Schizosaccharomyces pombe: one gene and its partner. Changing the gene in region 2 together with the main gene of any one other region gives a genetic interaction. Each region holds a gene or a part of one and is shown on either strand. Other genes may lie near its edges.

Region 1 (5,676 bases), on a different chromosome or scaffold from region 2:
TATTGCTCCAAATTCTCTGAAGAAGGGATGAAAGGCTACAAACAATCGTAAGCAAGAAGCTTCTCTGAAGTTAAGAGAATACGCCTATACTTACACCATCATGTCGAAAAGCACATCCATTTTCTGAATGCTTACAGGATCCATAAAGTAAGATATTTCTACATAATGTTCGTTTAGCTTTGGAATGGTCTATTAAAAATGGTGGTCAGTCAAGTTTTGCTTTGAATTTCCATTTACCTTTCAAATCAGTCACTGACGGAGACCTGGAACTCTCCCTAGAACGGGAAGTTGGCTTTGGGCTTGCAGGAGAATTCTTCCTCACACTCATCCTGTCAATTTCCAGGCAATCCCAAGCTAACAGTCTGAGATTATAGCAATTTAGTTACAGGTCGTGGAATCAGTAAGTCCCGGACAATACTAATAATGCAGCACAACGAAGTTTACTGTAATACTTTGCAACGCTACATTTTGTTTATATAACAATTTCATAGTAGTAATATTTAAGCATTTGAGAAGACAGTAATTCTAATTTATTTTTTATCTGTTCTTTACATGTAACGGGCAGTAACTATTTCGAAAACTTTAACAATAGCAAGTGTTATGTAGCAGTTGAACATGTCTTCGTAATGCTGCTATCTTTCTGCGATCACTGTAATTTAATTGCAAATCATAAAACCAAAGTAACTGAATTTTTTTTATCTTAACTTCTTCCTTAGTGCCAACTTTTGCGAATTGTTTCAAATGCAAAGCTATGTTTTTCAAGCAATTCGGCCTCCCATATATAGCCATTGCAAGTAAGAAAACTTAGTTCGCAGTTATAAATTCCCTATAGAAACTAACAGCTTGCCAAATTCACACTCCCCTGTTTTGCTATAAAATGCAATAAAAAATTACTGAAAGGGGTGGGACTCGAACCCACGAGCTTTCGCACTAGTGCCTTAAACTAGCTCCATAACCACTCGGACACCCTTCCTTTTTTGATCTGTCAGACAAAAAAGTATATATTATTTATTTAATTAATTAAAGAAATTTTAGGAATTCAGAAAAATATTTAAATTGCTAAAAAGAATAATAACAGACTGTCAATTATAAAAGCATATTTATTACCCTATTCTCTTTACATTGTCCTCTAAAACAGAGTAAGGAATGAAAAGTCTAATTGAGTTAAAATAGCTCAAAATGAAAAGAGAACGGTGAATTTTGTATTGAATAAGCTTTTAATTTTTTGAGAATGGTTACCCATGTTTTAATACATTCTTGAAAACTTAAAGACAAGTGTATGATATTTGGCATTTATCTCTGTCTGATTGGAAAAATTATTTTTAAAAGCTATGGCAAGTATGTGAACAAAAAATGGAGAAAATGCGTGAATATTGTAGATCGAATCATTAAAAAAATCCAATAAATGACAAGCGTATAAAGCATGACAAATTGCTTGTAGCCGTTCAATAGAAACTTTTATGTCTGTGCCGCTTGCTATATACTAAACATAAACAAATGGTGAAAGATATTTGAACACAAACTAGTTAACTCTGTCTGCTGATCAAACGAACGATAGGTTGCATGCATTGGGTTGCTTATTCCACTCAATAATTACTGCAATAAAATCAGCATCGGCATCTCGAAAAAATGTATGGCTTAAAGTGTTACTTCGTTAAAAACCTCTTCGTCGTTAACCGATGTCTATATTCCTAACAATTGTTTATAACATCGGAACTTGATATTTACATTTAAATCTTGAAAACAATAAACCTTTTGATCATTTGTAAATTGGGAAAGCATAATTGTTTATAAATTTAGTTGGAAGCTTAGGTATACAACTACTGTTGTATATTGTTGACATTTGATTGCTTCCACCACCGACCACTCTCCAGCAACTAGCTCATTCTTTATATGTAACCAAACAGGATGGGCTCTAATGGGTCAGAACTATGGTTTAATAAGGAGTTGGAATACTCCCAACAACTCACTAATGGAAAAATGAAAGAATTCTTCTTCCTTGTATCTGAAACCATGGACTGGTTGAATGAACACATGCTTGAAGTTTCCAAGTTACAGCTAGAGTCGTACGCATTTGTTGTTTATCATATGTGCTAATTAGATGGTTAGGGATATATATGAATTAGTGAGAACACCTACCAAGATAAAGGAGAAGTACTCCACTCCTCGTTTAAGTCCTGTACATCGATGTGCGTTACCAACGCCTCGCATGCGGTTAACATCTATTCAACATCAGCTTGAGGAAGCTGCTGTTGAAGGATATAAGTCGGGTGAATCCAATACAGTCAAGGAACCTAAAGAATTACATACTGCTACTAATACAGAAACCCAATTTGATGATGATAGGGATTCTACTAAGCTATCTTCTGAATATGTCAAAGATGATATAGTTAATAAATCTACTAAAGGTGGTGTATCTCCTATTAAAGAAACGAGATTGCCGACTAATTTGCCAGCTTTTAGTCCTACTTCAGTAGAGCGTCGTTTTACTGAATGGAACGTTCCTCTTCGTGAAACTTCGCCTTCCCCATCAGAAACTGCTGACAGTCCTAATAAATTACCAAAGCAAAAGCACCCCGCTTATTCTTTTGTCACTTTACCTAAACGTGAAGAGATTTTGAAAAGACCTGCATCATTACACAGTCGTGTGGAATCAACTAATTCATTTATAAATCAGTTAAATCGCCGGCGTACTAAAGACAACTTAACGAATAATCCTGAAATTTCATTAGATGAACCTATCAAGGCACTACCTTCAACTACTTCTGATGCTCCTTCTTCTTTGTTAAATACCAATGTGTCCTCTAGTCCTTCTAAATTTCGAAAATTCCTTTCATCAGTCATCCCCGCCAAGACAGATTTATCAGCCAAGGAATCGCTCACGTCGTCTACTAGGTTATCGACTTCTTACAAAACTCGTAAAAGAAGTTCAGGAGTCGCCTTCTCTTCTGAAACTGTTACTTCTTCTTCCAAGGAAAGAAAAAGGTCTGTCGAAAATGAAATGCTTAAACCTCATCCAACTATTTTTGAATCCCCTCCCGAAATTACTTCCTTCGATAAATCCAACGCAGTAGAAGCTGAGGCATTAACGGCCAAATTAAAATCCAATGAAGAGAGACTACCTGTATCTTCTCAACCTGGAAGTGATGCCAAAAGTCAAGAGTTTGACTTTTTTGAAGCCAAAATTCCCGATTCTATTGCTAAATTGAACGAGCTAACTGCCTCCAATGAAAACCACTATGAACTGAAAACTTATGATCGTGCCGAACGATTAAGGCAGAAAATACAAGAAGTAAGTTCTAATAAAAGATTAATTCCTTCGACTCCGCCCACGAAGAAACCGATTAATGCAGTTTTAGATGCTGCTAAAAACTCTGCAGCTAAGGATTTGCACCTTGCTAAAATGAAGCTGAATAATAAAAACGACGAGTCTTCCTTAAGCCCTGCAAAAAGTCATGCTGTAATCACTCAAGCGCCTAAGATCCCCCTGATAAGCACATTCACAAGGCTTTCAACCAGAAAGTCGTCAAATGATTTTAATTCTTCAAATTCTAGACCAAGCTCAAACGCTTTGAAATCGGATGCAAACGAAAATACGGACTCTTCTTTGCCGCCTTCCAAGAAGGAATTTATTGAAAAATCTCTGCACAAGTTATCTGAACCATTGCATGATGATTCTCGTCAAAATTCTGATCACAACTTTGCTCCGCATTCACGTCCGATTGCAATTCGTGTGGCCACAGCCTCTCAACGCGAACTTGAGCAAACTGAAAAGCGAAAAGCAAAAAATGGAGCAGCAAATGCTTCAAATATGGAAAGCCGCTCTTCTGAAAACGAAACTCATCGCTTCAAAAAGTTCTATGGTAAAGAACGAGAGTTATCAAACAACGAATTTCCAAGTCGTCAGACCAAAACTGTCACATCAGCCAATTCATCTAACATTAGGGATATGGAACATACTATTTCCGATAAACCTCGTTCTGAACCAGATGCTATACCATCAAGTAAAAGCATGCACTCAAATAAGCCATTTGAGGAAAAATCAGAAAAACCAACGACCAAAAGACTTGTTACTAACCCATCAAATGTGAATGCTTCATGGCATTCAAATATGTTAAAAAGACAAGAAGATTTACGAAAGAAGAAACCGTTAACCGACAACGGTGCAACTTCAAGGCATATGCTAAAATCTGGGTTAACACGCGTCACGTCGAAACCCACTCAAAGGTTTGCGAATGAGCTAGCTGAGGACATGTCATTGGCATTTCATTCAACTATTCCAAAAAAAATGGAGCCTGACTCAGTTACTTCTGTAACTCAGCCTTCTGTTGGTAGTTTGAGAAACAACTTCGATATAGGGACCACTAATAGTCAGAATGAAGATCGAAAAAAGAAGATAGCTGCACAAAAAAATAAGAATCCCGTACATGGTAATGTCGGTCTTACGAATCAACATGGATTCAAAACAATGCATCACAACGTCAACCCTTTTACTAAGCAGAATGGTATTATGAAAGGAAAGCTTCCATCTTCTAGTACTTCACAATCAAATAAACCTTTTATTGAAAAAGCTTCTATGCACGCTCCAGCTAAAGGTAGGAACTCGTCTATGCAGGAGCCCTCTTCTAAATCACCGTTACTGAAAACGCCTAAGTCGAATTATTTTCCTGGATATGGATCCCTATCGCCTAACACGTCTGTGGAATTACCAGAAATAAATAGCGATTATTCGGATGATTCAGATGATGAAGGTAATAAGAAAAAGGTAAATTTACCATCGTGGGCTGAATCACCTGAGTTACGAGAGCAATTAAAACGACAACAAAAGTGGGATCCAGACAAAATTTTCGGTATGATTAAACCTCTGCAAATGGATGAGTATTTCCGATCGAAGGATCGATCGAAGATTCGATTTCGACCAAGAAGCTCTTCTGCTGACTGGTCATCTCAAGATCGTTTGACCCAAGCAGAAATTGATAACTATAAGAAAAACATGGGTTTTTTATAGAGTTCTGGATTTTTGAAATGAATTTTGTATATTAAAGAACTGGGAAATTAATAGAGAAATACTTTAATTTATCTTATGAAACAATTTGCATAGAGTTAGATGACAAAATTAAATTAGATTAAAGGTTTTTGAATCTACTAATAACAATTATAATGAAATAGACCTCCATCTTAGACATTGAAGCATCGCTGATAATTAGTTTTTGTGCCGCAATAACATTAGCCATTAACAAACGTAGTTTGACATTGCCAGAAACTTAATCTACTTGTTCAAAGTTTTAATTTCTTTGAACGAAAAGAAACTGTGAAAGTACTTCTATCATCAATAGTTTAGCACAGTTTACATTGCTAGTTTTGGTTACACTAGACATTTACGTTCCACCATTTTAATAAAACTAGTGTAAAGCTTTTTTACCGTCTGGTTGGTTACTTTAAAAAAAAGAATTATTCTATTAAATGTGTGAACTAACGTAACCCGCACCTGAATAAATCATCCTAACGAAACATTAAGTCTATGGAAGAATATGAAGATTTTGAGATGGAAGATTTGAGCGAATTAGTCTCTTATATGGACTATCTTGAAACACAAAGATTGACTATTAGCCAATTGGATTATTCTTTGAGCATTCCACCACAATTGCTCGTAAGCAGGGAAATTTCTAAACTAGA
Region 2 (4,127 bases):
TTTGAGCACCATCGGCTATAGTTTTTGGTGTATCAATATGTACGATAGATCCTTTCCTAAAGGACTGTTGCCCATCGTTTCCAGCTTCAGGTTCAACTCCATAAACTTCGCAGTTTGGAGCAAAATGGCGAGCAGCAAGTGCTGATCCAGAAAGCAAGCCACCGCCTCCGAGACAAACAAAAAGTGCATCAAGAGGGCCAACCTCTTCAAACAGTTCCTTAGCTGCGGTTCCTTGACCAGCAAGTACATGGGGGTGATCGTAAGGAGGGATAATGGTAAGACCTTCTCTTTCAGAAATTTCTTTGGCCATCTTTTCTCTATCATCTTTGTATCTATCATACATGATTACTTGACCACCATAGCCTTTCGTGGCAGCGACCTTGGCTTCGGGTGCATCGAGTGGCATAATGATTTTTGCTGGAATTCCCAAGATCTTTGCCGACAGTGCAATGGCCTGAGCATGATTACCAGAAGAAAACGTCAAAACACCAGCTTTACGTTGAGCTTCATTGAGTTGAGAAAGAGCATTAAGGGCACCGCGAAATTTGAAAGCACCCATTTTTTGGAAATTTTCACATTTAAAAAACACTTCTGCCACAAACTCTTTATTTACTGTGCTCGACGTGAGTACTGGGGTTTTGTTGGCGAATTTCTTAATTCGCTCACTAGCTGAAGCAACATCATCATAGGTAGGAAGCACCAGGTTATCGCTCATTGTCGTAGTTTTTTAAAAATTTAAAAAGAGTGAAAATATCCTTTTATTCTGTAAACTATTCAGTCTTAAAATGCAAACTGAAGAATTTAACGACAATGAGAGATGTCAAATCAAGCAGAGCTCTCGATCATTTATAGAGAGAACCGTCAACTGTAACGCTATCTTATCTTTACTATGAAAAGAAGGTCAAAAAATGCGAGCCCAACTCGGAAACGAATTTATAGGCGACAATTGTAAAGACACTTACACAATTAGAACCAAATGGAAATGAAACAGCAGGACGGAGCTCCAACTTGCTAGTTCATAAAACAGTGACATGTAGCATAGCGAGTATAATGCTAATCACTATTTGTAGTATTCCTCTGTAATAAATGTTAACATTATATAGTGAGAATTTCAAGATGTAGAAACAGTCTGTTAAGAGTGTCATAGAATATAACGAAAATGCATGTATAACAATTGTTTCGACTCATTGAGTGCCAGAATAGTAACGTCTTTCTACCTTTAGCGTGATGAACAGTCATGCAGCATTGGTTAAATATATCAATAGTTTGAACCAAGCCTCGTTAATTTCTGTAAACTGTATCTGCTCAGCAATGGACTTGACTGCAGCTTAAATCAGTTTAGAAATAAATATCCAACAAACGGTGTTTTGACTTTCACATTACTATGCATATAACTCGTTACTAAAGAGTTCTTTTTTTTTATGAGAAATCTTAATCAAGAATGAAAAAGCTGATAATTAATGCTAAAACAATCGCAGAATTATATAATCCGTCATGGTCCAGTGGCTAGGATTCATCGCTCTCACCGATGCGGCGGGGGTTCGATTCCCCCTGACGGAGATTTTTTATCGTGTACTTTTCTAAATTGATTGAGAAATACGATAATTTATTATCAACTACAATTGTTAATTCACTTTTCGGTCCTTTTCTTTTGGTGTTACTCTACTTACTGAATTCTTTTCTTTTCTTGTTAGTTAGCACTGTCTCCTTCTGAAGCGTTAATATTGTAAGTATTCTATAACTAGTATTGAATAGTTCACTGTATATCGTTATTCGGTAAACAAACAGTGGACACATTGAAAAGAATAAAAAACAGATACTAAATATACTTTTAAGCCTGTGGTATTGGGATGATATAGAATATTCTGTTTGTTTTCCTTTTATTTATTTTGTTGAGAACGATACATGTCGTTTTTTTTAATAACATTTGTAGAATCGAAGTGGGTTCGTATGCTAAATAAATTCGTTCATAATTTCCATGTAAATAATCTTTGAAACACCCTTTGAGTATTCATAAATAACAACGGGAATCAGAGCCTCCTTCTTAGTTTGAAAGAAAGGAAGATAATAGCAGGCTGTGTTAAGACTCAGTAAACATGGTGTTACCTCAAAATGTAAACAACAACGCTCCTACTTCTGGACGAACTTGTCAAAAGCCAACATCAGCGTTTTTTTACGAAATAATGTCAGATTCAAAGTTGGCAGATTCTTTGAATTGCCTTTCTGTGTCAACTCCATCAACCACAGCTAATCCTGGGAGACAACAGCTTTTACGACTTGCAGTATCAAACCAACGACAAGTAAATAATGTTAGTCTAGCAAATGGGAAGGAAAACAAACGGACTTCAAATAGCAAGTTCAATTCTTCCCTTCGTAAGATAGAAGAGCCAATTGCTGGAGTACCTTCATCAGCTGGTCCTCAATGGCGAGAATTTCATATTGGAATGTTTGAAATTGGAAAACCCTTAGGGAAAGGAAAGTTTGGAAGGGTATATCTAGCTAAAGAGAAGAAGACCGGGTTTATTGTGGCTCTCAAAACATTGCATAAGTCTGAACTTGTCCAGTCAAAGATAGAAAAGCAAGTTCGACGAGAAATTGAGATTCAATCAAATCTTCGCCATAAAAACATTTTACGGCTATATGGGCACTTTCATGATGAAAAAAGGATTTATTTGATTTTAGAGTTTGCTGGCAGGGGTGAGTTGTATCAACACTTGCGTCGTGCAAAACGATTCTCAGAAGAAGTTGCGTCTAAATATATCTTCCAAATGGCTAACGCCTTATCCTACTTGCATAAGAAGCATGTAATACACCGTGATATCAAACCTGAGAACATTTTATTAGGAATTGATGGAGAAATCAAGCTTTCTGACTTTGGTTGGAGTGTCCATGCACCTTCTAACCGTCGTACCACTTTATGTGGTACATTAGATTACTTACCACCTGAAATGGTGGAGGGAAAAGAGCATACCGAAAAAGTTGATCTCTGGTCGTTGGGTGTCTTAACTTATGAGTTTTTGGTGGGAGCACCGCCTTTTGAGGACATGTCTGGTCATTCAGCTACGTATAAGCGTATCGCCAAAGTTGACTTAAAAATTCCAAGCTTTGTTCCTCCTGATGCACGGGATCTTATTTCTCGTCTATTACAGCATAATCCTGAAAAAAGAATGAGTTTGGAACAAGTTATGAGGCACCCTTGGATTGTAAAATATAAAGATTCATGGACTCGCAAAAGTTCTGAATCTTCCTAACCGCCATCTTGGTACTTTTTATTTAATTTTTCCTTCTTCTCACTACATTTTTGCATTACTACTTTCTTTTTGTTTCAGCGCTCTTTTTAATCGCGCAGCTCACTATATTCCTTCAGAACTTTTTTGATCTTTGGGGGTTATGGAGGTTTAATTATATGTAATATAACACACTCATTTAATAGAGGATCACCACCATAAACTAATCGTTTTCCAGATTTTCTTTTCGAAATCACTTAGAAGACATTCATTTTCCTAATAAAAACTATTTAAAAATTTATCATCACTTTAGCCAAGCTAATAATAACTTCCAAAAAAACTGTTACAATATGTATAAAGATAAAGTACGCCAAGCACATAATAAGTTGCATAACAAGTGAGAAGTATGCTTCGATATTTTTTAAAAGCCAACGTAAATGCTGTACGGGATATTATAAAATGGGAGGGGAAGGGAGTTGACATAATAACTATCTGACTTTTGTAAACTGGTATTTCAATAGACTAGACGAAAGAATGAATAGTTAGTACGAAGAAAAAAATGAATGAACAAAACTACAGCGAACGTACTTTTTTCAAAAGGCCTGAAATCGTTGAAACAGGAATTGAACACTTCTTCAACGATTGCTTCTGCTTGCTCTTTGCTTTTACAATTCGGGTTACCTTGTACGGAGATAGTAGCTCGTCGTTTGACGCATTCTTGATGATGCTTCCGAAAAGTTTTAATGTTACCAAAACGAAGTTCTTTGGTCCAGCGACACTCACCACTCATACTACTAGCACGAATTTCTGAACAAGCCTGATGTCTCAAATTGTTCCAATCGACTTCAAACCTGTGGTCGTCAAACATGTGTATCATTTCATGGGCAATTGTATTCTCTG

What was found. A genetic interaction does not mean that the proteins touch.
Region 1: of ark1 (region 2) and pic1, extra expression of one rescues a mutant of the other (dosage rescue), as found in Schizosaccharomyces pombe (one study listed by BioGRID).

Annotation. Positions count from the first base shown.
Region 1 is NC_003423.3:2,767,363-2,773,038, forward strand, and holds pic1 (INCENP-like protein Pic1), read left to right. Parts: upstream 1-1,845; 5' UTR 1,846-1,908; coding exon 1,909-2,066; exon of another isoform or gene 2,067-2,109; coding exon 2,110-5,008; 3' UTR 5,009-5,176; downstream 5,177-5,676. Other genes in the region: PAN complex subunit Ppk26, read right to left, coding at 1-35, 95-189, 238-328; single-strand DNA-specific 5'-3' exodeoxyribonuclease Exo5, read left to right, coding at 5,522-5,676. UniProt on the Schizosaccharomyces pombe protein: Component of the chromosomal passenger complex (CPC), a complex that acts as a key regulator of mitosis. Has a role in sister chromatid cohesion and condensation.
Region 2 is NC_003421.2:139,479-143,605, forward strand, and holds ark1 (Aurora-B kinase Ark1), read left to right. Parts: upstream 1-2,151; 5' UTR 2,152-2,183; coding exon 2,184-3,251; 3' UTR 3,252-3,560; downstream 3,561-4,127. Other genes in the region: serine racemase Sry1, read right to left, coding at 1-715; peptidase Atp23, read right to left, coding at 3,742-3,749, 3,816-4,127. UniProt on the Schizosaccharomyces pombe protein: Component of the chromosomal passenger complex (CPC), a complex that acts as a key regulator of chromosome segregation and cytokinesis.